7 linked regions of the Canis lupus familiaris genome follow. The protein of the gene in region 1 binds, or shares a complex with, the protein of each later gene. Links are inferred from orthologs where the notes say so. Each region holds a gene or a part of one and is shown on either strand. Other genes may lie near its edges. The genes, in order: GNAI1, NUMA1, PTGDR2, FFAR1, HRH4, GPR17 and RGS16.

The links.
Region 2: GNAI1 (region 1) and NUMA1 share a complex: the UniProt entries of both Homo sapiens proteins name them as parts of the spindle orientation complex. The link is inferred for Canis lupus familiaris from reciprocal best matches to the Homo sapiens genes GNAI1 and NUMA1.
Region 3: the proteins of GNAI1 (region 1) and PTGDR2 are in contact, whole or in part, in a cryo-EM structure (PDB 8XXV), measured with the Homo sapiens proteins. The link is inferred for Canis lupus familiaris from reciprocal best matches to the Homo sapiens genes GNAI1 and PTGDR2. Residues at the interface, in NP_002060.4 of Homo sapiens: Glu28, Ala31, Arg32, Glu33, Val34, Lys192, Asp193, Leu194, Glu318, Tyr320, Phe336, Asp337, Thr340, Asp341, Ile343, Ile344, Lys345, Asn347, Leu348, Lys349, Asp350, Cys351, Gly352, Leu353, Phe354; in NP_004769.2 of Homo sapiens: Arg129, Gln132, Val133, Pro136, Val137, Gln140, Asn141, His142, Arg143, Thr144, Val145, Leu233, Arg236, Arg238, Arg239, Pro241, Arg243, Phe244, Leu247, Thr307, Cys308, Pro309, Asp310.
Region 4: the proteins of GNAI1 (region 1) and FFAR1 are in contact, whole or in part, in a cryo-EM structure (PDB 9K1C), measured with the Homo sapiens proteins. The link is inferred for Canis lupus familiaris from reciprocal best matches to the Homo sapiens genes GNAI1 and FFAR1. Residues at the interface, in NP_002060.4 of Homo sapiens: Glu28, Ala31, Arg32, Leu194, Asp315, Thr316, Lys317, Glu318, Tyr320, Phe336, Thr340, Asp341, Ile343, Ile344, Lys345, Asn347, Leu348, Asp350, Cys351, Gly352, Leu353, Phe354; in NP_005294.1 of Homo sapiens: Arg37, Thr39, Pro40, Ser41, Leu100, Gly103, Arg104, Gly107, Ala108, Pro111, Leu112, Tyr114, Gln115, Arg118, Arg119, Cys205, Leu209, Ser212, Gly213, Leu214, Thr215, Arg217, Arg218, Arg221, Ala222, Val225, Ala226, Tyr278.
Region 5: the proteins of GNAI1 (region 1) and HRH4 are in contact, whole or in part, in a cryo-EM structure (PDB 9LRE), measured with the Homo sapiens proteins. The link is inferred for Canis lupus familiaris from reciprocal best matches to the Homo sapiens genes GNAI1 and HRH4. Residues at the interface, in NP_002060.4 of Homo sapiens: Ala31, Arg32, Glu33, Lys192, Asp193, Leu194, Thr219, Glu308, Asn311, Lys314, Asp315, Lys317, Glu318, Ile319, Phe336, Thr340, Asp341, Ile343, Ile344, Lys345, Asn347, Leu348, Lys349, Asp350, Cys351, Gly352, Leu353, Phe354; in NP_067637.2 of Homo sapiens: Arg112, Ser115, Val116, Ala119, Val120, Arg123, Thr124, Gln125, His126, Ile197, Ser200, Leu201, Arg204, Asp205, Arg290, Val293, Glu294, Arg297, Arg300, Leu301, Ser304, Leu305, Leu308, Cys361, His362, Lys363, Arg364.
Region 6: the proteins of GNAI1 (region 1) and GPR17 are in contact, whole or in part, in a cryo-EM structure (PDB 7Y89), measured with the Homo sapiens proteins. The link is inferred for Canis lupus familiaris from reciprocal best matches to the Homo sapiens genes GNAI1 and GPR17. Residues at the interface, in NP_002060.4 of Homo sapiens: Glu28, Arg32, Lys192, Asp193, Leu194, Asp315, Thr316, Glu318, Tyr320, Phe336, Thr340, Asp341, Ile343, Ile344, Lys345, Asn347, Leu348, Lys349, Asp350, Cys351, Gly352, Leu353, Phe354; in NP_001154887.1 of Homo sapiens: Thr92, Ala94, Asp156, Arg157, Ala160, Ile161, Pro164, Val165, Leu168, Lys169, Arg171, Arg172, Pro173, Leu247, Leu251, Arg252, Val253, Glu254, Leu257, Lys260, Ala261, Met264, Ile265, Ala329, Glu330, Lys331.
Region 7: the proteins of GNAI1 (region 1) and RGS16 are in contact, whole or in part, in a crystal structure (PDB 2IK8), measured with the Homo sapiens proteins. The link is inferred for Canis lupus familiaris from reciprocal best matches to the Homo sapiens genes GNAI1 and RGS16. Residues at the interface, in NP_002060.4 of Homo sapiens: Val179, Lys180, Thr181, Thr182, Gly183, Ile184, Val185, Gln204, Ser206, Glu207, Lys209, Lys210, His213, Ala235, Glu236, Asp237, Glu238; in NP_002919.3 of Homo sapiens: Glu86, Phe87, Ser88, Glu90, Asn91, Ala126, Pro127, Glu129, Val130, Asn131, Ile132, Asp133, His134, Leu162, Lys165, Asp166, Ser167, Arg170.

Annotation. Positions count from the first base shown.
Region 1 is NC_049239.1:20,214,737-20,218,236, reverse strand, and holds part of GNAI1 (guanine nucleotide-binding protein G(i) subunit alpha-1), read right to left. Parts: intron 476-3,500; coding exon 347-475; intron 1-346. UniProt on the Homo sapiens protein: Guanine nucleotide-binding proteins (G proteins) function as transducers downstream of G protein-coupled receptors (GPCRs) in numerous signaling cascades.
Region 2 is NC_049242.1:26,117,125-26,121,292, reverse strand, and holds the start of NUMA1 (nuclear mitotic apparatus protein 1), read right to left. Parts: upstream 2,801-4,168; 5' UTR 2,719-2,800; intron 2,699-2,718; exon of another isoform or gene 2,580-2,698; intron 1,530-2,579; exon of another isoform or gene 1,410-1,529; intron 1,078-1,409; exon of another isoform or gene 1,042-1,077; intron 1-1,041. UniProt on the Homo sapiens protein: Microtubule (MT)-binding protein that plays a role in the formation and maintenance of the spindle poles and the alignement and the segregation of chromosomes during mitotic cell division.
Region 3 is NC_049239.1:56,036,532-56,039,406, reverse strand, and holds PTGDR2 (prostaglandin D2 receptor 2), read right to left. Parts: upstream 1,704-2,875; coding exon 501-1,703; downstream 1-500.
Region 4 is NC_049222.1:118,100,528-118,104,049, forward strand, and holds FFAR1 (free fatty acid receptor 1), read right to left. Parts: upstream 2,248-3,522; 5' UTR 2,046-2,247; intron 1,738-2,045; 5' UTR 1,423-1,737; coding exon 523-1,422; 3' UTR 501-522; downstream 1-500.
Region 5 is NC_049228.1:63,977,493-63,981,705, reverse strand, and holds the start of HRH4 (histamine H4 receptor), read left to right. Parts: upstream 1-1,413; 5' UTR 1,414-1,505; coding exon 1,506-1,698; intron 1,699-4,213. UniProt on the Homo sapiens protein: The H4 subclass of histamine receptors could mediate the histamine signals in peripheral tissues. Displays a significant level of constitutive activity (spontaneous activity in the absence of agonist).
Region 6 is NC_049240.1:24,318,443-24,321,942, reverse strand, and holds part of GPR17 (uracil nucleotide/cysteinyl leukotriene receptor), read left to right. Parts: intron 1-1,105; 5' UTR 1,106-1,236; coding exon 1,237-2,256; 3' UTR 2,257-3,500. UniProt on the Homo sapiens protein: Dual specificity receptor for uracil nucleotides and cysteinyl leukotrienes (CysLTs). Signals through G(i) and inhibition of adenylyl cyclase. May mediate brain damage by nucleotides and CysLTs following ischemia.
Region 7 is NC_049228.1:15,891,055-15,894,984, forward strand, and holds the start of RGS16 (regulator of G-protein signaling 16), read right to left. Parts: upstream 2,801-3,930; 5' UTR 2,675-2,800; coding exon 2,631-2,674; intron 1,737-2,630; coding exon 1,626-1,736; intron 661-1,625; coding exon 596-660; intron 311-595; coding exon 144-310; intron 1-143. UniProt on the Homo sapiens protein: Regulates G protein-coupled receptor signaling cascades. Inhibits signal transduction by increasing the GTPase activity of G protein alpha subunits, thereby driving them into their inactive GDP-bound form.

The sequences.
Region 1 (3,500 bases):
ATAAAAACTTTTAAAAGGTACCCTTCATTTTTACCATTTCCATAAATAAGCATATGTACAATCAGTAAAATTCTAAGAATACATGTTAACACTTTCTCCAAATATGCAATATCAGAGCAATATTTTCTATTTAGAAATAAAAGCTAAAAATTATTTTTATTTAAATCACTTTGAAAATATAAACAAGAGATTTGCATGTTCATTTTTTCTTAAATAAAAATTAAATATTCCTAAGAATGTTTCCTGTCCTTCTTCATCCAAAATATTGTCTGTCTAATCACCTTTCTTTACTGAACAAGGTATTTTATACCTAAATTTGTAAATGATATGCTTTAAAGCTACTTACTTAAAATGGAGATCTTTGAAAGTAAAATGGGTTTCGACAATTCCTGTTGTTTTCACTCTGGTTCTGAGAACATCCTGCTGAGTTGGGATATAATTTGGTTGTGCTATTCTGTCCAAGTCATTCAAATAGCTGAAGAAATAAATAAAATAATAGTTAATATAGCCCTTAAAGATCATCTACATCAAGAAGTAAAACATTTTGATGCATGCAATATCATAAATCAATGGAAATTTTTATATTTCTGTGTAATGATGTAAAAATACAACCAATTTAAGTTTATATGTTATACAATTCCCACTGAAATGAAAATGTATACTTCTCCAGCCACAAAGCCCTTTTAACATTTTCTAAGTACTGTGTACTTTGTTTCCTAAGGACACGAATTAGTAATTCTCCTTGTTAGAAACAAAACAGAATAATTTCTTAAAAACCACACACAACCAATTGTACACTAGGAGTCAGCTTCTTAAAAGTCTTTATTACACTTTTTTTAAGTAGCATGTATTTCTTTTCTGGACATTACTCTTGTTGAGGAGTTACAAAGACTGAAGTTTTTGAGAAAGTAATGAGTAGATCTCCAGCCAAAGGCTAAATTCAATACTATTCTTTTTCAGCCAGCTTTAAGTTACAAATAGGAAAACACTACGCACGCTCTTTTACTCTGCATTTTACTGGTTCTCTAAATAAATATTCATATTTGGGGATCCCTAGGTGGCTCAGCGGTTTAGTGCCTGCATTTGGCCCAGGGCGCAATCCTGGAGTCCCGGGATCGAGTCCCACGTCAGGCTCCCTGCATGGAGCCTGCTTCTCCCTCCTGCTGTGTCTCTGCTCTCTATGTCTATCATAAATAAATAAATATTTAAAAAAATATATTCATATTTTACTTCTCACTGGTTTTAGCCACCCACCCGTTCAATACTCTTTGCCAACAATGTCAAATATGTTATGCTACTAAAATGCAGTGGTGTCATACCATGCGATTATTTTTGTAAATTATTCTGTGTCATTTTATATAGTAAATAATGTTATAGAAAGTCCAGGTATGAAGAGAGTAATGTGAACCTGAGTGGTGAAAGAAGCCTTCATGGGTGGGGAGGGTTGTAAACAGAAATCTGAATGATGAGGGATGTGAACAGAAAAAAAGAATGCAATCCAGATCAGGAGAGTAGTCAAACAGTATGAGGAGGCAGGAATTGTCAGATCTTGCTTCTCACAAAGTAAGGCCCCCAGGAAGTTGTGCATAAACTCAAATGAGAAGTCTGGAATTGATTCTAAATGGGAAGCTTCCCAACAGTGTTTTCTGATACTAGAGTGCAGTGGTCAAAGATAATTTAGAAGATTCACATCTGTGTTTATTACAGAGGCACCAACTACTACAACTTTAATGGACGTTATCTTCTGAAACTGTTCCTTAGCCATTTAGAACAGATCTTACAAACAAAAGGAGCTCAATAAATATTTGATTTGTAGAGATGGAGTTGAAAAGCTATCGAAACACTGAATTAGTAATCAACAGTGTTTTAGACAGTTAAGTATATGTATGTGATATTGATACCAGAATTCATAGAGCATACCTGGAGTTATCTGCATTGTATTTATTGAACTTAAAATAATCTTATTATCACATTGCTGATAATCCCCTAGTACTCTGTGTTTTTAATTCCACATATATAATGATATACAGTATTGTAAAAAAAAAAATCTAATAAACACATGGCAATATTTTACGAATTGTCCCTCTGAAATAGTGTGTTAATCTTATTTAAAATGCACTTTGATTACTCCCATACATTTATTTGCTTAAAAATGCTACTCAATAGTCTCTAAAAATAATGCACATTCATATTTCAATAACACAAATTAATCCGGCATTGGGAAAAACTCCAATTATTTAAAATGATCATGAATTTCAAGTAAATTGGTAGTTAGATAGTCCCAGTGGGCAACTTGGCAACATCTCCCATCTCTAGCCCAAAACTCAGAAATCAAGAGGCTCTGTGACCACTATGGAGAAAAAGATTTCTAGGACTTCCTTCATTCTTGAAAAGTGGCTCCCTTGTTGCCATCGTGAAGTCAGAACTACTAGTAATGAAATACTGGGGAACCAAAATGACTTATTTTTCCAGTGCATACCCCGATACTTGAGCACACGGGACAAGTCTTGGTCATTAGACTGCAGTGGTCCAGGAAGTCCCATCATACAGGGAAAGTGACTTCAACCGATCATCTCTGAGAAGGACCCCTTAATTACTGCAAAAGCTCCCCTAGCTGGGCTCTACTCAGAGCAATCTTCTCAACATGAGTGATTCCCATTTAGCTCTTTCTGCAGGAGCTGGTGGTGCCAAAGCAAATAATATGGTCTAAGAATCGTGTTCTTCCTGTAAATCATTTTCTTCTAATTTCTCTTCGAGCTTCTGTAAAGTATGGTTTATTCATTCACTCATTATTAAACAAGAGCATAGCAAATGACAACTGTGTGTCATGGAGAAAGCACACAGGGTGAAAACAGACCGCACTGAATTTACAGTGTAGTGGCAGAGACAGAAAATCATTTCAACACAAATAAAAATTACCTCAAATGTAAATCTGTGAGTGCTCTGAAAGAAATATTTTGTATTTTAAGTATGTAAGACAGGGAGGCAAAGACCTATCTGTGAGTCAAGGCATATATCCTAAGAAAAGATGACACCAGTTGGAGAGGGGAGCTACATATTCAGTAACATGTTACATATACATATAGAAAATACATACAAAATAATATGTATATATTATATAGCTTACATAGTCATAAAGCATTAGAAATACAGATTAGGGGTCGCCTGGGTGGCTCAGTGGTTGAGCCTTCAGCTCAGGGCGTGATCCCAGGGTTCCTAGGATCAAGTTCCACATCGGGCTCCCTGCAGGGAGCCTGCTTCTAACCTCTGCCTCTGTCTCTGTCTCTCCAAAGAATAAATAAATGAAATCTTAAAAAAAATATATAGAATAGGAAATACTAATAAAAATTGGTATGGGTTACACAGTAAGGTGTATTTACTCCCTCACACTAAATCACAGAACAGAAACTGAGTATTCTTATGTGTAGCCAATGACCTGCTGAGTGATAATTGGGGAGAGCCGTAACCTATTTCTCACTGTGGTGAAATGGGTGTATTTA
Region 2 (4,168 bases), on another chromosome or scaffold:
TCTCTGTCGCTTATGAATAAATAAATAAAATATTTAGGGATCCCTGGGTGGCGCAGCGGTTTGGCGCCTGCCTTTGGCCCAGGGCGCGATCCTGGAGACCCGGGATCGAATCCCACGTCAGGCTCCCGGTGCATGGAGCCTGCTTCTCCCTCTGCCTGTGTCTCTGCCTCTCTCTCTCTCTCTCTCTGTGACTATCATAAATAAATAAAAATTAAAAAATAAATAAATAAAATAAAATATTTAAAAAAACAAAAAAAAGTCATGCAAGGTATGAAAATTCAGATTGAGCAATCACTGTAAGCCCCCAGTAGGACACAATTAAATCCACACCATGTAATGAAACTGCAAAACACAAACAAGATCTTTAAACCAAAGGAAAAAAGCAGGTTACCTACAACAACATGATAGTTAAACTGTGAACACAGTTCTCAAAAGTAACAACAAAAACGCAAAATTTCAGTAAAATAACATTTTCGAAATGCTGAGCGAAAATAATGGAAGCCCAGTACCCAGCTAAACTGTCAAGACTGAAGAGGCAATAAAGATGTTTCCACAAAGAGTGTTTACCACCAATTGACCCTCACTGAAGAAAACATCTGAAGGATATATTTGTCTAATACGAAAGGAATAAAATTCAAGAAAGAATGGTGAAAAAAAACGGCATATAAGGGTAAAATGAAGTAACCACTGACCGCACAAAACAATACTATCACAATAACAATTATTGCTACTTAGGATTGTTCGATATTGAATAGGCTGTTTGGGGGAGTGGTCTCATCATTGTAAGTGCTCATTTTGATTTTTGAATTCAGACAACACCTTTTGATATGTTTAGCATAACACTGAGTAAGAGGCTGAAATAAATGACCCCCAACACACTTAATGACCATAGGGTGTTATTAGACACAGCTGTCAAAACATTCTCAGACCAGCTCTGTTTAGCCACCTGTGGCAGGGCTTTCCCTCATCCTAACAGTTCTAGAACTCAAGTACTACTCAAGGCATTCTTCTCACTTTAATATTCCATAAATAAAAAAGAACATTCTAAATAGAAGTGTTTTTCATATGAGCTTTCAGGTAAGATCTTCTAGCTTTGGGGGAGTATAGTTTTGGCATTAGATGAAGAATCAGGCAGTACAGGGCAGCCGGGTGGCTCAGCGGTTTAGCGCCGCCTTCAGCCCAGGCTGTGATCCTGGAGACCTAGGATCGAGTCCCACGTCAGGCTCCCTGCATGGACCCTGCTTCTCCCTCTGCCTGTGTCTCTGCGTCTCTCTCTCATAAATAAATAAAATCTTAAAAAAAAAAAAAAAAAGAACCAGGCATTACAATTAGTCATTTACTTGAACTTAGGCCAAGAAAAGAGTACTTTGGAAGCTTTTACAGAGGAGTATGTGCTTCTTCTTCTACAGGAGAACCATACAGGAACAGAGAGGGAGGGAACACATACATGCATCCCTACTGATGGAAAGAATATTCCCTCTGGATTTCCAAATGTTCATAGCAGTAAAGATCTCCACAAGGTAACCCAATTCCTTTACCACCAAGGTTTCTGACCACCACAAAGTACCGCACTTGTCATTCCAGAACTTTGGGAATACAGGACCAGGCAACAAACCAAGAGAGGGAAACATGGATTAAAGCAAGTAAATATCACATTTTTAGAAGGCAGTGCCATTCCAGGCAAAAAGATAGCATACAGAGGTTCAAAAGCCACTAAATGAAGATGGGAAGGCCAGGCTATTTATTTCCTTTCGGAACATTAAAGCTCATTTCAAAGTGTATGTTAATGGCCAAGGCAGGCTTCACTCACACCTGCCTAGGCATCAGGATACGGGGACAAAAGACACTGTCTCCACCTAGAAGGACAGACATGCAGACACTCTTCCAATACCAAGTGAGAAGCACTTCCGGGCGGGCCGGGTAAGCAAGAGAGGGCACCCAGAAGAGGCAGCATCAAGCCAGTTAGGCTCTTTCCCACCCACAACCTTCACAAAGTCACTTACAGTCACAGATTTGTGCATTTCAAGATGCTTCCATGAAACAACTTACCTGATTTGACCCTCAGAACAACCCCAAGAAATAAGGTAAGGCAGGTTAAGTTCGTTGTTTATGTATGAGACGTGAGGCTCAAAATAGGTGTCTCGTCCAAGACGAGGCGCACCCCCACATAGCCCCTTACCCTCTACTCCTTATTGAAGACAACCATGCACTAGCTATGTAATCCTGGCCAAGTAAGCATTATAAAATACTTCCGCTTCCCCGTCTGTAATAAAGGATAATAGGACAATCAGGAATATATTTTTAAACGATCCACGTAAAGGGAGTGTCTGAAACGTAGTCGGTGCTCGGAAAATGTTTACTACTAGTATTACTACTACTATTGTTAACAATAATAGGCGGAGACTGCCCTGGGACCTCTGGGTCACAAGCCTTTCAGGAACACGCACTACTCGCACCACCACCCCCCCCCCCCCCCCGGTCGTAGACAGAATTCCACCGACACGCCCCCAAACAGACCCTCCCCCCTCAGGCACGCCGGCACCTCCCCCCGGACATGCCCCCCTCCTCACAAACCTTACCCCCAATAGATTCTCCCCAGTCAGAGTAGGTTATGAAGGAGGCCTTCCGCTCGCACCCGCCTCTCCAGCACCCCCTTTAGGCCCGGGCATCCCTGCGGGTGCCCAGACCGAACGCCAGCCGCGGGCCCGCGCCGGTTACCTGGCCGCGCGCTCCCGCTCCGCCTCACGCTTCCACGGGATCGTTTTTGCCGCGGGCTCGCGCCAGCGCTGTGAGCGCACAATTAGTTTAAACCATGGCCCCGCCCCCTCGCGCCACCCTCTGATTGGCCCCAGTCGGCTGGAGTTTCACGCAAGGGCACGCTTGAGGACCCGGGAAAAGGAAGTGTGAGGACCACTGGGAAGAGAGAAGGGGGTGTCACTATTTCCGGACCCCGGCCTGGACTTGAGAGCAAAGAAAACTACAAATCCCAGCACGTCCCGCGGCATTGGAGCCCCGCCCCTGGCGAACTACAGCTCCCGGTAGGTATCGCGGCAGCGCTTACGGCGGGTCGCCGGGTCGAGGTAGTTACTATGGAGTTGACGCTGAGTAAGCCTGAGGTAGTGGGACGCCGAGGCTGGAGGGAAAACAACTGCGGGTGAGTCAGGCGGGAACACAGGAAATTCGTTCTAAGAGAGATTAAGGAATTTTCTTTCTCGGGGACCTGAGAACCCCTCCCCCCCGCACACATCCCTTACCCCCCTTTGACAACGAACAAGACACAACATCCATATGGAATAGACCGAGGGAGGGGAGGGAAGGGCAACGAGATACATACCCGTACAGACCTGGGGGCGCTTAAGAACGTCCGTATCACAAACCTGAGACCCCCCCTAATACAGATGCCTCAAATCCCTGACGGAGGGAATTCTGAAACGCCCTCAGAAAATGGTTGGGTTTTCCTCTGATGAACTGAGACCCTTCAAGACATGGAAGTAAAATTAGACTAAATCACAGGCCTTCACACTGCAGACGTATGGGGCTTGCACTGTCTCTTTCCTTTACAAGCAGCAAGGTCCCAGGGTACAGCCTCTTCCTCAGAGTCAGGAGCATCTGCCCACACACACTCATTTGGGGTCCTGTCCCTAAATTCCCTCTTCTCCCTACAACTCTGTGGTCTGCTTCTCAAAGCTCTATGGTTAGCATTTGATTCCTTTTACAGTCTTCATGACAGATTACATTTGGCACCTTACCCAGCACCTTCATCTTCAGTCTCTCTTTGGAGTTTTGTGAGTCAAGGATATTTCTCCCCATTTTACAAATTGGAACACTGAAATCCAAAGAGGAAAGCGACTTACCCAAGGCCACACACCAAATCAGTGACAATTTAGGACTAGACCCCAGGTCACCAATTTCAATCTAAGTCACTAGCTTGAGTGTACAACCTGTCTAGCTTTAAGATTTGTTCCAAGGAGTAAACTGCCCCAGGGCATGAGCTAGTTTGTATCTTGGGCTTCCTTGTGGCATCTGAAAATATAACCTCCCAGAATACACTAGATTATGTGGCCGACATGTGACATTCTTTTTCTTCCACCTGTAGCCCATAAACAGAAGCCCTCTCTAGGCCAGGCCATTCAGTCTCCTATTAGATCTCATCTGATTATTTCTCAAA
Region 3 (2,875 bases), about 36 Mb from region 1:
CACTTTGGGCTAGTGGCCCGGCCTGTGTGTGCCTCAGTTGGATCATGAGTAGAAGTTGGGGCTGACAGAACCCGTCCCTGGGATCGAGCATCTCAACAAACGTGGGGTAGGTGACTGCGTGACAAGTTAGACCAGACCAGTGCTTCCCAAACCTTTGTCCCGGTTTGCTACTCCGAAACGCAATCGCTGGTTTCCTGTGAAGATCTTTACCTCCTTCCCCCTCCGACCATCAGGCGGAGCTGAGCCCTGAGCCCCAGGAAGGGGTGGCCACCCCTCTCAAGTCGGAGCAATCTATGGTTTCCCGCCTGCGCTGGTCCCTGGGGTCCGCTGACCAGCAGCGCTCACTTCGCCTCCTGGGAGCTCGGTGAAGTGCAGAATCCGGGCGCCCGCCCTGGGCCCTGACGGTTCTAGATGGGACGGAGGCCCCGGAGGCGCGTTGGGCCGCGGAGCCCGGCTCGCCTGCCCGCCCCCGGGGCGCTCTTGTGCCCGGTCGCTGCGCTCTACCCCGACGCGGTGCTCAGCGCCCGGTTCAGGGGGCCCCTCTCGTCCTGGGACCTGGACCGGGCCCTCTGCGCTGACCGCCCGCGGCCGCCCTGCAGCCAGGCAAGCAGGCGTGCGGGCCCGGACGGGGGCGGTGGCGCGCGGGCGCCGGGGGCCTGGCGGGGCCCAGAGGAGCGGCGGCGGCGCCCGCTGCCCGGGCCGCCCAGCTCGCTGTCGTCCAGCAGCACACTCTCCAGCACGCTCCGCAGCGAGCGCCGCAGTTTGCGCAGCACGTCGGGGCAGGTGAGCACGTAGAGCAGCGGGTTGATCACGCTGTTGAGGAAGGCCAGGCTGGTGACGAAGGGCAGGCCGCGCCACACGAGAGGCCGCAGCGAGGGGTCGGCGTGCGCGCGGGCCTCCAGCAAGCTGAACACGTGGTAGGGCCCCCAGCAGAGCGCGAAGGCCGCCACCACGGCCGCCACCAGGCGCACGAAGCGGCTGGGCCGCCGGCGGCCGCGGTGACACAGCTGCGCGCTCACGAGAAAGTGGCTGGAGGCGATGATGGCCAGTGGCACGACGAAGGCCACCAGGAACTTGCTGACGGCCAGGGCTGCCTGGCGCGTGTTGCACGTGGCGTCGCGGTCGGGCCCCGGGTTCAGAAGCAGCACGTTGTAGTAGCACATGATGCGGCCGTCGAGCCGCGGGATGGTGTCCCGGAACACGAAGTAGGGCACAGTGTTGAGCACCGCCAGCGCCCAGAGCCCCAGGCAGACCCTGTGGGCCATGGCGACCGTCCGGTGGTTCTGCGCCCACACTGGCCGCACCACCTGCAGGCAGCGGTCCAGGCTGATGGCGCTGAGCAGGAAGCCGCTGGCGAACATGTTGAGGAAGAAGATGGAGGAGTGCAGCTTGCAGAACGTGGTGCCCAGCTCCCACGAGTGGCCCACCGCCAGGAAGTACGTGAAGAAGGGCAGGGTGGCGGTGGCCAGCAGGTCCGACAGCGCCAGGTGCAGCACCCAGGTGGTGACCACGGTCTGGCGCATGCGGCAGCCCACCACGAAAAGGATGAGTCCGTTCTCCGTCAGGCCCAGCAGCGAGGCCAGCCCGTGCAGCAGCACCGAAGCGTGGTCCATGTAGCGCATGCTGGAGTTGCTGTGGCTTTGGATGCGGCTCATCTGCTCCAGGATGGGGCAGAGGGGCTTCAGGGTGGCGTTGGCCGACATGGCAGGCTCTGTGGCGGAGAGAAGGGGCTCTGAGGTAGGTGGCGCCTGGCAGCTGGGGACCCCCTCCCCCAGGACGTTGGAATCCCACCCGTGAACTGTAGAGATGAAGCCTGGAGGGTGGGGACAGGGGGAGGGATCAGGGAAATTGAGCAAAGACAGTAAGGTGGGGGGAATTACATCCCAGCTGCACACACACACACACACACACACACACACCCCGCTCACTGTGCAAACTCGGGCAAGCCATTTAACCTTCCCGAGCCTGTTTCTTCGTCTGTGACGTGGATGTCAGCTCATAACCGGCCCTAGCTCCTAGGGCTGCCGGGCGTGTCCGGCCAGTTTACAGACATGAGCACTGAGAGCGGAACCGGCGCGCAGAAAGCACCGCATCGATGTTGAGATTATTTTAGTATATGTACGCCTGAGCGAGCACGGCGTTGAGATCGCTATTCCGCAGGCCCCCTCGGGTCACATGGAAACGGATACAAAGCCAGGCCACGCAGGATTCCTTTTCCCCATCCCTGCAGCGTTCCCCACCTGAGATGTCAGCTGGCCTGGGGAAGGGGAGTGGGAGAAGCCTGTGCCTTTAAGGGACGTGCCCTCCCTGCCTGTCCCACGCTCAGATCTTGGCTCTGCAGCTTCTCCAGTTGGCCCTTTGCTCCCACAGCAGGGGTAGGTTGGGTGTGTTAGCCTTGAACTGTGGAGCCAGCCCCTACTCTGGTAGTTGGAGAGGAAATAAGATAAGAGAGAGGAGAGAGCTGGGCATGAGGAACTACCAGACTAGGGCCCTGGAGGCCCAATAGGGTTAGAGAACTGTCCCCTACCCGGGGAAGCCGAGCCCATGTGCCGGCTCCCCACTCCTTGGGGAAGCCCAGCCTGCTCATCTATTTGCTCAGCGACTCACTCATTCAGCAGATATTAACTGAGCAACTTCTCAGGTAAATGCTGGGGAAGCCAGCGTCTGACAGATGTGCACACCCACAGCCTCCTCAAAAACCCAAGACCACCGGATGCAAAGCTGGTTGAGACTGGGGAGAGCAGAGGGGAGGCTGCAGGCAAGAATTAGGGAACTAGGGGCTAGGCAGCAGGGGTTGGGGACTCAGATTGTTCTGGGGCCCCACGATGTGCCAGCGACTCCAGTAGGCCCCTTACGTAGGTGCTCTCTGGCTCAG
Region 4 (3,522 bases), on another chromosome or scaffold:
GGTGTTGCTAGTATTTTCCCTCTCCCTGCTGGAGCATCCTTTTTCCTACCAACTTCCTGTTCACAATTCCAATGCTGCCCTCTTGTGAGTCCCAAGTGGTATAACAGCGTCAGTATCTTGACTCCTGCCTCTTACTCGCAAATGAAGATGTTCTTTCCTAGGCCACACGTTGGGAGTAGCATCTCCCAAAGGGTATCGGCAGAGCAACCTTTCCTCAACGTTGGAGGAAAACCTCCGTAGCACTGGCAGGGGGGCACGGGGAGAAGAGGGACGGGCACAGGTGGGGAGTTGCGCCGATGGGCCCAGAGGCAAGCTTACCTTCCTTCTGTGACCTAGCTCCTGGCCTCCGGTCTTCCCTGCAGCTGGGGTGCGGCCTTCTGCCGGGCTCAGGCCTTTCCAAGCCGCTCCAGGGATGCTCCCAGGCAAGGCTGCGCTGCAGCTCCTCTGGAGGAGTCCCCAGCAGGGGCCCGGCCAGGCAGCCAGGCCCTCCTGCTCCATGCCCCTTGTCCCCAGCAGCGGCTACTACTTCTGAGATGTCCCTCCTTTCGTTCTTGCCACACTTGTCACCCGGCCGGTGCCCCCTCCCAAGTAGCCAGTCACCAGTGGGTTGAGCACCACGCTCCAAGCCCCCGTGATGAGCCCCAGTTTCCGCCAGCAGCCTCCTATGTCGGGGCGCAGGAAGCCAGCCACGTTGGAGGCATTGTAAGGTCCTAAGCAGAACAGCAGCGTGAGCAGAGCCCCGCCGGCCACCCAGGCTGCCCTTAGCTTCCGTCTGTGGCTCAGGCCTGAGCGGGCCAGTGCCCGGAGGCAGCCCACGTAGCAGAAGGCCGTGATGGTCAGGGGCAGGAAGAAGAGCAGGAGAGAGAGGGTGAGGCGAGCGGGGCCCGCTGAGGCAGGGTCCCAGGCCTCCAGGCAGACTGGAGAGCCGTTGACCGGCGTGTTGATGCCCAGGGAGCTGGTGGTGTTGTCCACCCAGCCTCCCGGAGCCTCCAGCCCGAAGACCAACCCCAGGTGACAGAGGACCAGGGCCCATATGGCCGCACACACGGCCCAGGAGTAGCGCGGCCTGCGGGCCGCTTGGTAGCCCAAGGGGAAGGCGGCCCCCAGGTAGCGGCCGACGCTCAGGGCAGCCAGGAAGCCCCCGCCGGCGTAGAGGGGCGCGAAGTGGGCCAGGGCAAAGGCGGGGCAGAGCGGGGCGGGCAGAGGCCAGGCGCCCAGGGCCAGCGCCTCCACCGCCTTCAGGGGCAGGGAGGCCGCCAGCAGGAGGTCAGAGAAGCCCAGGTGGAGGGCGTAGACGAGGCTGGGGGTGAGGCGGAGCCGGGCGTGGGACACGGCGCCCCCGATGGCCAGGATGTTGAGCGGGAAGCCCAGCGCGAAGGCGGCCACATAGAGGGCGAAGAAGAGCTGCGGGGGCAGGTCCATGGGGCCAGGGCTGAGCTCCCCTCGCTCCCCACCCTGGGATGGGCCCGGGCAGGGTGGGGGGGCAGGGCAGGGGCTCCCGGGGTCACGGACCGCCCCCAGCGCTAGAAGCCATCTAGCGCGACACCAACTATCTCAACGAGGGAGGCCCCCAGGGAGCAGGCGAGCCTGGGCGCCAAGTGAGGTCTCTAGCTCGGGCCTCTGCTTCCTGTCCTCCGTATCCTCGTATCCTCGTATCCCCGTATCCTCGTATCCTCGCTTAAAGCACAAAGGAAGCGAGCAGGTCCCGTTCGAGGAAAGGCCGCCTGGTTTCTGAGACTGGGGAGAGAAGGGGCAGAAAGTCAGGACAGAGTCAGGCCCCCGGCAGGGACAGGGGGCACCTGCATGGCAGCCGGTGGGGGGCTGGTGGCGACTCCTAGCTGAGGGGGGATGTCAGGATTGGGGTAAGGTGGGTAAAGGGCAGGCGAAGGGGGGCGGCGCGGGGTTGAGCCCAAAGGCAGGCCAGGCCCCACATCAGGGCCACCGGGAATGACCTTAGCCAACCTCAGGGGGCGCCCCGGGCAGGTAATGCTGGGGGGCCTGGGGGATAATCGCAGGAGAGAGGAGCCAAAAGAAGAGGGACTCACCTCTTGGCGCTGCCAGATGTCTCTGAGGCTCAGGAGTCCCCCTCGCTGGGCTGAGGGAGGGCGTCCAGGATGGGCAGTGAGCCGGAAGGTAGAGGAGGGCGGGGAGGCAGGGCCATTAGCCCGAGGCTGCAGCAGCCTGGGTGAGCAGCTAATGGGGCATCTCAGCGCAGGAGCCGGGGTACGGGTCCAAACGGATGATGCAAACACAGGGCGGGGGCTGGGGAGCAATGAGGGGTAGCGTGAGGCGTGTGTAGCTAGTCCCTTAAAGGAGCAGGGTGGTGGGGGGGGCGTCCAGGCTACGGCTTGATCCCACCCCACCCCAGCCTGTTCAGCCCTGCTCTGGGCGCTGTCTTCTCTCCTCCCGGCCTTACGGGCTCACTCAGACACCACAAACTTTGGTGGCCCACCCCACGGCAATTCGGTGACTGGAATGTGGGACAATGAAGTAATCATTTCAGGGATGTCTCCTCTGCCCTCCCCGGACCCCCACAGATGGTGGGCACATTTTGGGAGGAGAGGGCTCCGGTGTTCCCTGTCCTTTCCCCTCTGGCTCGATGACAGTAGTTTCTGACCCTTCCTTCTGGTGCCGGCAGGAGTGGCGCAAAGGACAGATGAGGGACGGGTCTCGTTGGGTGGCCCTGAAGTGCCGAGCCGTGGTCCCCGTACTGTGTCCCTCTGGGACACTTGGACCGATGCTGGGCGGATGGTTCGAGGCATGGATGGTGTGAGACTCCAGCGCACTGCTTAGCTTTCTTCTCAGCCTCGGAGAATTCACCCACTTACTCCCTATGGGGGTCACCTTGCCCTTCTAGGAAGATCTTTTTTTTTTTTTTTAAGATTTTATTTATTTACTCATGAGACACACAGAGAGGGACACAGAGACATAGGCAGAGGGAGAAGCAGGCTCCCTGCTCCCAGGACCCCGGGATCACGCCCTGAGCCACAGGCAGATGCTCCACCACTGAGCCACCCAGGTGCCCCTTCTAAGTGAGATTTAAAATGGCCACAGTCTGTCTGGGGGTTTTGTCTCTCTGTCTCTGACTATACCTGTGTCTCTCTGTCTCTGCCTCGGACAACACAAACGCTTTCTGGACTTCAGACTCCTCTGTTTTGGGGGGTGTGTTTCAGCCATCAGGTCCTCCCGGATTCCAAGCACCCAGGACAAGCTTCGCTAGGGGTTTCCTGGGAGCGTCCCCCCTTGGCCCCCAGGCTTCAGGTGGGGGCAGCACGGGATTCTCGGGGCACCAACAATTGCCTCCAAAGAAATAACTGAATCCATCCCCCCTTCCCTACTTCATTTGCTAAACTGATTCTTGGTTGCTTCCCTCCCATGGCCTGCGTATGTGGTCCAGCACCTCCCTGGGGATAGAGAAGAACTCGCCATCTGTTGTTTAGTATTTTATCCTTGGGAACCAACAGAACCAAAGGAAAAATCAGAAGGACCATTTCACCCCCTATAACGAGTGTTTGGAAGAGG
Region 5 (4,213 bases), on another chromosome or scaffold:
GTTGAGTTGGCTCAACACAAGGCAAGAGAATGAAATGTAGCGCAATATGATTTGTCATTATTATTTTCCCCAAATGTTACCTACCTGACAGTCCACTTCTATGAAGGCAATTCCCCACAACCTAAGGCACAAGGCAAGATTTCTAAGTCTGTTAGATTGCTTTCTCTTCCCACATGAAATTACAAAAAATAGAATTAAGAATTCTGGAATTAAGAAATTACATTAAACTAGTGCTGCATTGCTTTTTTAACAGAAAGGCCTTCTAAGTTGACTAGGCATAAAAACTGGCTAGTTTTGAAAGGGACTTTGTAATTGTGGAAGAACGTACAAATTCCTAATACCTCTTGTTAGTGAATTAATAGTGAGTGAAATGTAAAGAAGAATAAAGATTAAGGAGAGTGACAAATTGGAAAAATAATTCAGATTTTTTTAAAGACCTTATTTATTCATAGAGACAGAGATTGAGAGAGAGAGAGAGAGAGAGAGAGACAGGCAGAGGGAGAAGCGGGCTCCATGCAGGGAGCCCGACGTGGGACTTGATCCCGAGTTTCCAGGATCATGCCCCGGGCTGCAGGCCGTGCTAAACCGCTGCGCCACTGGGGCTGCCCCTCATTCAGATTTTTAAAAAAGGTCATGATCATTAATTTTCATGCCATGAATGAAAAATAATAAAATCAACCTTAAGTCAAATCTCTCTATGTAATATGTATTTTATTTTTATCAGCTACATTTTTAAGAAATTACAAGAACCATCTTACACACAAGACTTCCAGGTTTGTGCAGTTAAAAAATATGTATTACATAGCAGCTGTGCAGCAGAGTCCTATCTGGTACTCCCTGACTCTGCACTTCATCTCCCCATTGCAAGTAATCTGCTGGGGGCTCCTCCTGGATGTCCCCTCTCTGCTCTGTGCCCTGGAAACTCACAAAAGACAGTAAGCAGGGGCAGCTGCACAGCTGATCTCATTTTCTCCCCCCCTTTTCTCAGGGATCACTGTCCTTCATTGCCTAATGTCCGGTGCTCTGACAACCATTGTTTCATATATTCTGCTCAGTTTTTTGGTTCTGTCAGATGGGATGGTGAATTCAGCCCCCGGTATCCCATCATGATCAGAAAAGAATCTTTAACTAGATCTATACCAGTTCAAAAAATAAGTCTCATTGGAGCCCAATTTCTTATCTATTTACTGAATCGATTATATTTCACATATATTATGTAATATTGCTCTATTAAGGGGAGGTAGTTAAATCACATTCAAATGTTTACACTAAAACATTTCACTATCTTTTGGAAACTACTTTTTCAGTGTCAGTTAAAGGGAAACTGTTATCACAAGATTGCTTTATCAAGAATCAGGAAGTACAATGAGATCAGCATTAGATCTTGAAAAATATTGTTATGAGTAGGAGACTATATATATTAGGTACCCGATTGGAAAACATACTTGCCAGAATTGTCTTCCTGGATTAATTTGCTCTATTGAGCTTCTTCATCATTTGATGTGATGTCAGCTACTAATGGAACAATTACTTTACCACTAAGTACTCGCATTACTCTAGCATTTTTAATGAGCTTACTAGCTTTTGCTATAATGCTAGGAAATGCTGTGGTTATTCTAGCTTTTGTGGTGGACAAAAAGCTTAGACATCGAAGTAACTACTTTTTCCTTAATTTGGCCATTGCTGACTTCTTCGTTGGTAAGTTTCATGTCTTTATTTCAGATAATCTTTTCCAATTATAACTTCTTTCTAAAACCTTTAAATTAGCTTTTTTTCTTTTTAAAGATTTTATTTATTTATTCATGAGAGACACAGTCAGAGAGAGAGGCAGAGACACAGGCAAAGGGAGAAGCAAGCTCCATGTAGGGAGCCTGATGTGGCACTTGATCCCAGGTCTCCAGGACCAAACCCTGGGCTGAAGGTGGCACTAAACCACTGAGCCACCCGGGCTGCCCTAAATTAGCTTTAAAAAAAAATAAGCTTCTGTTATTTCAAGGGACTGTTTAGAATTGGGGATGTTAAAATAAAAAAGTTTAAGGATTAAAATTCTGAGGAAACTATATGCCACTTTAGGGGAATAGTATGTATGTGTAAATCAGGTTTGTAGGAGAATTTTCCTTGACAAAATTTATTTTCTTTTTATAGAATAAAAATAAGTCCAGAATAGTTCTAAAATTGCTTTAGTCTAAGATTTATTTGTTTCTGGAGCTATTTTCCTTGTATATTTAGGTTTATAAGTATATGTAGAAATGTCAGCTGATAGTATTGCTTTATAGGAGCTTCTAGTATAATTTAACTTGTCGTGTCTATAGCTACATAAATGCTTTCATTTATTTTACAGTGAAAAAAACCCCTCATAAAATGCTTACTTCGTTGCCTGGAACATAGGGTTACTCAACAAATGTTAGTCCTCTTTTGATTTCTCTACAGATAGATGACAACTCAAAGCAAGATCACAAATGATAGTAGATTACCTACCATGTGTAAGGACTGTTAAGTACTCAAGTATGATTAGAAAATGACATATACAGAAGACTAAGTTAATTTCTTTCTTTGGTAAGGTTTCAATGTAGGAGAGTGGATAAGAGAAGCTCACAAGTGACTGCAACAGTATAGAGTATGATACGAGAACCACAGGGACCCACCAAGTGCTATGGGCACTCAGAGGAGGGAGAAAGCACATCTGGTTAGTGGGTAGAAGCATCTGAAATGAACTTCAGAGGATGGGTAGAATTTCCATAGGCAGAGATGGAGAGGAGTATTCTAAGAATCAGCAAAGACATGCTGGTAGAAAATCATCGTGTCCATCTTCCTAAGTGTGAGCTCCAGACAGGCTGTGTGGGATCAATAGGGGATGAAGCTGGAGTAGTTGGAATCTATATAATGAAGGCCCTTGAATACTAGTGTGTCTGGACTGGAGGTTTTTCAACAGAAAATGTGAAGATCTGGATTTTTAAAGCAGAAGAGTGATCGGATGGATTGAGGCTTTACCTTGGAGGCATTAGCAGAGATGTGGCAGGTGGCAGAAGCCAGAGCAGGTGGCGGCTTGGCTTCGGAAACATTCCTGCAGCAATCTAGGCACAAGTCATATGATGAGGTTCTGAGCGACTGCGGGGAGTGTAGAAAGGAAGTTGGGGAGGCAGAGCTGCAAGGGTGGGGTTGGGCAGGAGATAAAGATTAAGTTCTAGGAACAAGAAAAGTATGGCATGATTTATAGGAATAGGGGGCATTAGGGAGGGCAGCTAATGCTTCTGATATTGTACTGATAAACGTCCTGGAGAAAACTTCTAGCTTTGAGAGATGGATGTGGAGTCACAGCATAGAAGGATCACAGATGAAGATGGTGAACCACATAGAAGTATTGAAAAAAAGCAAAAATCTCCCCTTTCCTCTCCTCAATTCTGCCCCTTCAGGTAACCCACATTAACAACTTGAGGTAGATCCTTCCATATCATTTTCTATAATCACAGACACATGTATAACTATATGATTATATTTAATGTGAAGAGAATATTCGCTATAAATATACTTCTCCCTCTTTGCCTTCTTCACAGAATTGTACAGCTTTTAGATAATACCTAACACTTCAAGTTGATTATGTATTTTGACTAACTCAAATGGAGTGGCAGTAGGGAGGGATCGGGTAAAACTATACCCAACCACAAGAGCCTGAGGCCTGAAGCTTTTGAACAAAGATGGTACTAGATAAGCACAGAGGGTTTCCTGGTATGGCCCAATGGAAGCATCAGGGCAGCCCCACCAGCATGTGCTTGCACACCAAGGGAAATATCCCTGCTGGTGTAGTTATTCAACACTCCTGAGGGTCTCCCTCCATTGGCAGGTGGATGGGAAAAGGAATGGCTTTGCAGCTGATGACAGCAGACACAAGCCAGAATCTTTGTTAATCTGCCAGTCTCCTCCTTGATCTTTCCCTTTCCCCCTACCAGCTTCATCCAGAAGCCCACTTATTTAATAGTATTTGCCATGATGGTATAAGAAATTAGGACAGCCTCTGAGAACTTTCTGTAACAAGATTGGAGTTTGAGAGTTTGGTGTTGGGGCTGTTCTTTGTCCTTAGTCATGCTTAGCAGTGGGCTTTTTGGCTCTGAGCCTATAGGCTCATGATGGTGGTGCTGGGCCAGGGGAGAACTCAGGAGAACTTTCCTGTAGTTGTAAGGCAGAAATTCTTAGTTCTTTTGGTCAAGAGACCTTG
Region 6 (3,500 bases), on another chromosome or scaffold:
CCTCTCCTAGAAAAGAATCTGCCTCCTGGTTGTTAAACTACTCTGGGTGTTAAAATCTCCCCTACTGGCCTGGGGCCCAAGTGCAGGGCTTTCTGAAATACAGGTCTCCACCCTTTAGGATGTCCAAAATGGAGTTGGTAGGCTGAGTCCAGAAAGCTTGGGACCCAGGCCTGGATGGCTTTCAGGTGCCAACGGACAGCAGGCCCCTGACTTCCAGGAAACTGCCCGTCACTATACTGCTGTTGGGGCCCTTCTGGGTGGCAGGTGTTGGGGGAGCTGTGGTCGGGGGCTGACAGGAGAGGAGCACAAAGCCGTGACAGGCTTCGCACTGCAGTCGGTGGGAAATGCCACAAGGCCTGGGTAGGCGGGCCAGGAAGGGTCCTGAGACTTAGGGTGAGCAGGGTTCACCCTGCAAGGATGAGGCCAAAGAGAAGCTGGCTGTGCTTGCATGCACCAGGCTCTCAGAAATAGGTGATTTAGGGACGCCTGGGTGGCTCAGTGGGTTAGGTGTCCAATTCTTCATTTCAGCTCATAACCTCAGGGTCCTGGAATCAAGCCCTGCATTGGGCCCCCTGCTAAGCCAGTAGTTTGCTTGAGGATTCTCTCCCTCTGACACTCCCCCCACCTAGGATTTTTCCTCGTCTCTCTATCTCTCCCACATAAATAAATAAATCTTGGAAAGAAAGAAAGAATGAAAGAAAGAAAGGAAGGAAGGAAGGAAGGAAGGAAGGAAGGAAGGAAGGAAGGAAGGAAGGAAGGAAAGAAAGATCTACCCCACCCACCCACTGGGAGTTGAGTCCAAGAGCCCCTCACTCCATCTCCTGCCATTCAAAAAGAACACTTGGGGAGCATGGCAGAAAATATGGGAATGCTCCCTCCATCCCAGAGCCCAGACAGATGGATTCACTGCCCACCCTCCCCATGGTCTGAGAGAGTGGACCTCTGGGACACCCAGCCCCAGGGCCCAGGCTCCTGTGTGCCTGGCAGGGAGGCAGCTGAGCAGTGGGAAGTCAGCCGCAGCAGTGGCCTGGCAAGCTCCAAGCCCTGGCTTCATTTTTGCTTTGTGCTGAGCTTCAGAAAGGCTCTGACACTCATTCTCCCCCAGGTGAACACAGGAGCTGCCTTCAGTAGTCCCCAAGGTGATGCTGAGCTAAGAAGCTTCTCGGGTTCCAGGCTCTGGAACCCATCTGCTTGTTCCCTCCAGGCTCGTCCCCCAGCTCTGCTTCCGGCTGAAGCATGAATGGCATAGAGGTGGCTTCCTCGGGTCTGACTGCTAACTCCTCCCTGGCCACCGCACAGCAATGCGGCCAGGAGACGCCACTGGAGAACATCCTCTTTGCCTCCTTCTACCTCCTGGATTTCATCCTGGCTTTTGTTGGCAATGCCCTGGCCCTGTGGCTCTTCATCCGGGACCACAAGTCAGGCACCCCTGCCAACGTATTCTTGATGCACCTGGCTGTGGCCGACCTGTCCTGCGTGCTGGTCCTGCCCACCCGCCTCGTCTACCACTTCTCTGGGAACCACTGGCCATTTGGGGAAATCCCGTGCCGACTCACCGGCTTCCTCTTCTACCTCAACATGTATGCCAGCATCTACTTCCTCACTTGCATCAGCGCTGACCGCTTCCTGGCCATCGTGCACCCTGTCAAGTCCCTCAAGCTCCGCAGGCCCCTCTACGCACACCTGGCCTGTGCCTTCCTCTGGGTGGTGGTGGCCGTGGCCATGGCCCCACTGCTGGTGAGCCCACAGACGGTGCAGACCAACCACACGGTCATCTGCCTGCAGCTGTACCGGGAGAAGGCCTCCCACCACGCCCTTGTGTCCCTGGCCGTGGCCTTCACCTTCCCGTTCGTCACCACCGTCACCTGTTACTTGCTGATCATCCGCAGCCTGCGGCAGGGCCCCCGTGTGGAAAAGCGCCTCAAGAACAAGGCGGTCCGCATGATCGCCATGGTGCTCACCATCTTCCTGGTGTGCTTCGTGCCCTACCACGTCCACCGTGCTGTCTACGTGCTGCACTACCACGGCGGCGGCACCTCGTGCGCCACCCAGCGCATCCTGGCCCTGGGAAACCGCATCACCTCCTGCCTCACCAGCCTCAACGGGGCGCTGGACCCAGTCATGTACTTCTTTGTGGCCGAGAAGTTCCGCGACGCCCTGTGCAACCTGATCTGTGGCAAAAGGCTCTCAGGCCCACCCCCCAGCTTTGAAGGGAAAACCAACGAGAGCTCGCTGAGCGCCAGGTCGGAGCTGTGAGCCCCAGGACAGGACGACAGGAGGGGACCGACGCCAGCCTTGGGCCCCACCCCTGCCGCACTGTCACAGACTGTCCTCAGAGGGACTCCCCCGCCGGGGCACCTGCGACCCAGACTGGAGGAGTGTGCCTTCTTCCCGGCACGTCCCTGCCGCCCTCTCCAAGGGCAGAACTCAGTACCCAGCACCCGGCTCCGGCTCCGTCTGATCTGATGCGCAAGTCCCTAAAACTGGACACCCCTTGATGGGCCCAATCAGCCACCCCGTCTGCAGAGACTTTGCTGGCACTGCTCACTCGCACTTACTAGATATTCAGTGACTTCATCGCGTGGGGGTGGGAGGGGAGGAGGCCAGGGGAACAGCTCCTGAACAATGAGCGTCTTTCTTTCCCAAGGGCTGCTTGCTAGACTCCCAATGTCCTTCCCGCCACAAAGAACACACAGCAGCAAAGCTCTGCAGAAAGAACCCCAGGAGGCAGCTGCGAATGACTCAAGAGAAGGCGGAGCAGGAATCTTGGTGGAGGGGTAAGGACTTTGAGTTCCCTGGGTGGCACCTTTGCCAGACGCCCCCTAAGTTTAGGGGTCATGGACTCTAACTCCTAGCTGAGTATTATAAGCACCTGGCCACCAGGTGACATCCAACAACGCGGTCTCTGGGCACGTCACCCTGGTTCTGGGTTCCGGATCCCTCCCGCGGTGAGCCCACACGGGCCTGCATGTAGCCCGACAATCTCTGGAGCTGCCTAATCCCTGCTGAGTTGGTGGTGCACACAGCACGGTGGACAGATATGGGGAGCCAGGCTCCATCACTGCCCTAGGACACCTCCGGCAGGGAGTCATGCCTGGCATGTGACCCTGTCTCCCACTAGCCCAGGCCAGCAGGGGCATCCTGAGCCCTGCCCCCTCTCAGGAGGCTTGACCAACCACAGGGGGCCAACCTTTGAGCTGTTCTATTCCCTGGCATGGCACCTACCACCCTGGCAGGTCCCTTTTGGCACTTGATCATACTGATCATAACCATAACTGTACTGTGATGCTGAAGGTTTTCGTGAGTGGGTAACATAACCACCTTCCCAGACCTCCTCCCCTGCACCCAAGAATGGCAAAGCAGAAGTGAAGACAGGAGAAGCCAGGCAGCACAGGCTTTTGCCTCTGGTTCTGACAGCCCCCCATGCAGGCTGGCCCCACGTGGACACTAAGTCCTGTATCACAGGCCTCAGAGGGCTGGCCCAGGCCAGGGGGTCTGAG
Region 7 (3,930 bases), on another chromosome or scaffold:
ACAAGCCCATTCACCCCTGTGCCAAATAAGATCACTCTCTCAGCTCAACCCTGCCCCGGCTGGATACCTCCCCATCCCCAATCCTCAGCGGGGAAAGGGCAGGCAGGGTCTAGAGGACCCACAGAACATGCTGAGGCTCTGACCTCTTTAGGGGCTTCACTGCGGATGAATTCCTCAAAGATCTTGTGAGCCCGGGAAGCCAGCTTGGCAGCAGATCGGAGCTTCTTAAACTCTTCACAGGCCAGCCAGAACTCCAAGTTTTCCTCACTGAACTCTGTCTTCAGGAAAGTGTGGAAGGCAGCCACTCCATCTGGGGTTGAGGGGAGAGAGGGAGAAACAGGTCAGATAGCAGGACAGCGGGGAATAAAAGAAGAAAGACAGCAATTGTAGTTAATGGTTCTATTTTTAGGATGTAATTTTCTTGAACAAGGACCTGCCTTTGTATTCTGAACAGAGGCTGGCACACTAGGGGATCATTATTATTATTACTACGACTATTATTTTGCCCACGCTTTTCAGAATCCCTCAGGCTGGCTCCAAAGCACATGGGTACACATGTGCCATCCGCAGACAGACACAACGGGGTCCTACTCACTTTTACTGCTCAGTAGCGAGTCAAAGGACTCTTTCCACCCCAGCACATCTTCTGAGAAGTTTCTGCTAAAAAAAATATATATATAATAAATAAACAAATAGCCAAGATTTTAATTTAAAAAACCCAACATACTAATGCATAGCATAAATCCTAGAACTCTGATGGGAGTTGTATGTTCACACAGAGATTTGCTCAGTGATTATTGGAGCCAACTTCTTGAACCCTTAGTTGAGGCCGCAGGTATTTTTCTGGAGGACAATTCAGTAATGAGAAACCAAAGCCAGGGACCTTCCGGCCCTCAGTAAATAACTCTCAGACTGTCTCTTCACTGTCAAAAATCATTTCTATTCCTCTGACTCTGAGCTTTGTTTTCTACACTTCACCCAGGAAGTAAGGGCTTTATGGAATAGAGGCTAAGCCTAGCCATAACCCCAGAGCCTAGAGCAGCACCTGGCACCACTGATGTTAATTATGAAAGGGCTTGGGGATCCCTGGGTGGCGCAGCGGTTTAGCGTCTGCCTTTGGCCCAGGGCGCTATCCTGGAGACCCGGGATCGAATCCCACGTCGGGCTCCCGGTGCATGGAGCCTGCTTCTCCCTCTGCCTATGTCTCTGCCTCTCTCTCTCTCTATGTGACTATCATACAAAAAAAAAAAAAAAAAAAAAGAAAGGGCTTATAGCCAAAGTGCATGCTAATGGAAGCAGAATCACTGACCGAAAAGCCTTCAAGTGTTCTTAGACCCCGTCCTAGACCTGGTTGCATGGACAATGACGTCTCCAGGTGGGAGAGTCTGGTAACTGGACATTCCCACCTTGGGTACACACAGCTGTTGGTGGCCTCAGAACCCTGGAGCCACCTACCCAGTCACCCATAGCAGACCAGCAGGAAGCTTCACCAAAATCTCCAGGAAGGGGTCACCAGGGCCCACCCTTGCATGTCCTAGTTTCTCCTTGTATTTTCTCTCTTGTGGCTGTTTTCCTAAATCTGGCTCCCTCCCCCCTAGGGCCCTAGGCTGGCTTGCAAGACTTACCCATCTTTGCTGTGTTTGCTGCTCCACTCGAACTTGCCAACATTCCCAGTATCTGAGCCCAGCTCTGATTTGTGAAGAAAGATCCCCAGTCGTGTCTTGAACTCTTTGGCTCTGGAAGACAAAGCAGGAACATATAGGGATCCTACATTTGCTCAGCCAGGGCAAAAAGCCAGGCAAAAAACTCCTGGGATCCCGAGGAGTTTGGGGCTGGTGCCACCCTAATTCCAGCCTCAAGGGTTCCTGGGAAACTTCGGCTGTTCCCAGGGCTTAAACTTTGCTTGTCTGTTAACAGTGAAAGTCATGTTTCAGCTGTTCTTCAGCAGGACTTACACTTTCTGAGTTCAGGGCACAGCACACTCGGGTCCCCCCCTCCCCCCATCTAAGCACACTGATCTATCTTTGTGCCTGTTGATCAGCAGAAGGCCGGTGGGCACCCTCTAGACTTGTCCTGAATATTTCTCAAACTGTGTGGAAATTGATTCCTGCTTCCACCTTCTTCCCTTTTCCTTCCCAGCCATCAGCTTCAGCAAGGACTAGAGGTGGTTGAGTAGCTCCCTGGGGAGTGGGCACATCCCTCACGGGTGGACCCCCCAAAAACCCCTCCCTGCCTTCTCGGGGCCCCGCGAGGGGCATGCTCCCAGGTCTGGGCTGTAGACTGAAAACCAAGCGCTTAAGAAACTAGAAAAGGGAACTCTGCCCGCCGATGCCAATGTGCCCCTCCTGCAGCCGGTCTTCAGCAGGTCACCTGAGGACTGCCACTTGTCAGAGGATGGGGAATGGCAGTCCACGGTGATTCCGCTGCTTCCCGCTGCTTCTCCTTCTCGCTTCTCTTGGCCCGTCGCTCCTCTAAGACTCTAGGGGAAGCCTCTGAGAATGTGGAACCTCCGCTTCTCTACTCCAGTCGCTCGAGTCCCCCCGGGGCCCGTCCGCCCCGCTCCCGAGGGACTGGCGGGACCTGGCCTTCCTGCGGGCGGCCGGCAAGCTCCGGGGACGAGCTCCTCTTACCTCTCCAGGCAGGTGGTGGGGAAGGCGGCCAGGGTCCGGCACATGGCTGCGGGTTCGGGGCAGCACGTCGTGGAGAGGACGGTGACGGGCTCCAGCGGTCACCACGAACCACCGCGGACGCCGGGCGGCAGGAGCGCAGGGGCGCAGGGGCGGGGGCGGCGGCGGCGGCGGCGGCGGGGCGCGGCGGGCTCTAGCCTGGCGGGGCTGCACTCGTCGACGCGCGCCTACCGCGGCTTTTATTCCCTCGGAGGAGCGGGGCGGGGCCGGGCGCCGCCGACCAATCGGAGGGCGGTGGGGGCGGGGCCGGGGCTCGAGGGGCGGGGCGTCCGCAGGGGCCCGCGGCGCGGCGCACGTGGCTGCGGCTCCCCGGGGCTGAGCGGGCTGCGGAGCGAGGAGCGGCGGGAAGTCACACGGCCCGAGAAGCGCCCACTCGGCTCAGTCGGAAAAAATCCCGGAGGCCTCCGGTAAAAGCCGAAAGCCGACTCCGCGGTAGCCGGCGGATCTGCGGGGCGGGGGGGGGAGCGCGTTGGGGATGCGCACAGCGTGGATCTCGCGCCGCCTGCGCCTGCCTGAACCTGCTGCGTCTTGACCCACGGCGGCCAGGGCTGCAAGCCCCGCAAGACGACGCCACGATGACCCTGATAACCCCCGTTTGCTGTGCTCCTCCCCGAGCGGTCGGTCAAGGGGGCCAAGTCAGCCCTTTACCACAGCTCCTCATCTCATCACCTGTTTCACAGATAAAGAAACTGAGTCAGAAAGTTAAAGGGACTTGCGCAAGATCAGAGGGTTGGAACTGGCAGACAAACGGCCGGGGGGGGGGGGGGGGAGCGCTCTTTATGGAGCATCGGTGTGCCAGGCGTTTTTACTGAGTTAGGACGAGCGAGGTGAAAGAATTTGCTCGGCGTTTCACGATTAGTGTTATGCCAGCATTCAAATACGAATTTACCACGCTTTTTCCACTGCCCTCCCAGCCAAAATTAGAATCCCAGCACCTCTGTAAGCTGATGAATGATCCTGGGTTCAAGCAGCAGCTAGTTCAGTGTCTTATCTCTGAAGTCCAGGTAATAAATGCCCTCCCTCTCTCCCAGCCTTCCCATAAAGGCCTCACAGCAGCCCTCCCCTCCCACCGTGGCTCCTCCGTTCCCCTTGGGATTGCTATTTAATGAGGCTGCGTGTGAGGTTTGCAGTGTGGAATCCAGAGCTGGATTTCCAGGTTTCACATCATGGCTTCACCACGTACTGATGGGGGAGACCTTAGGGCAGCTTCTTAACTTTTCTGTGCCTCACTTTCCTTATCTCT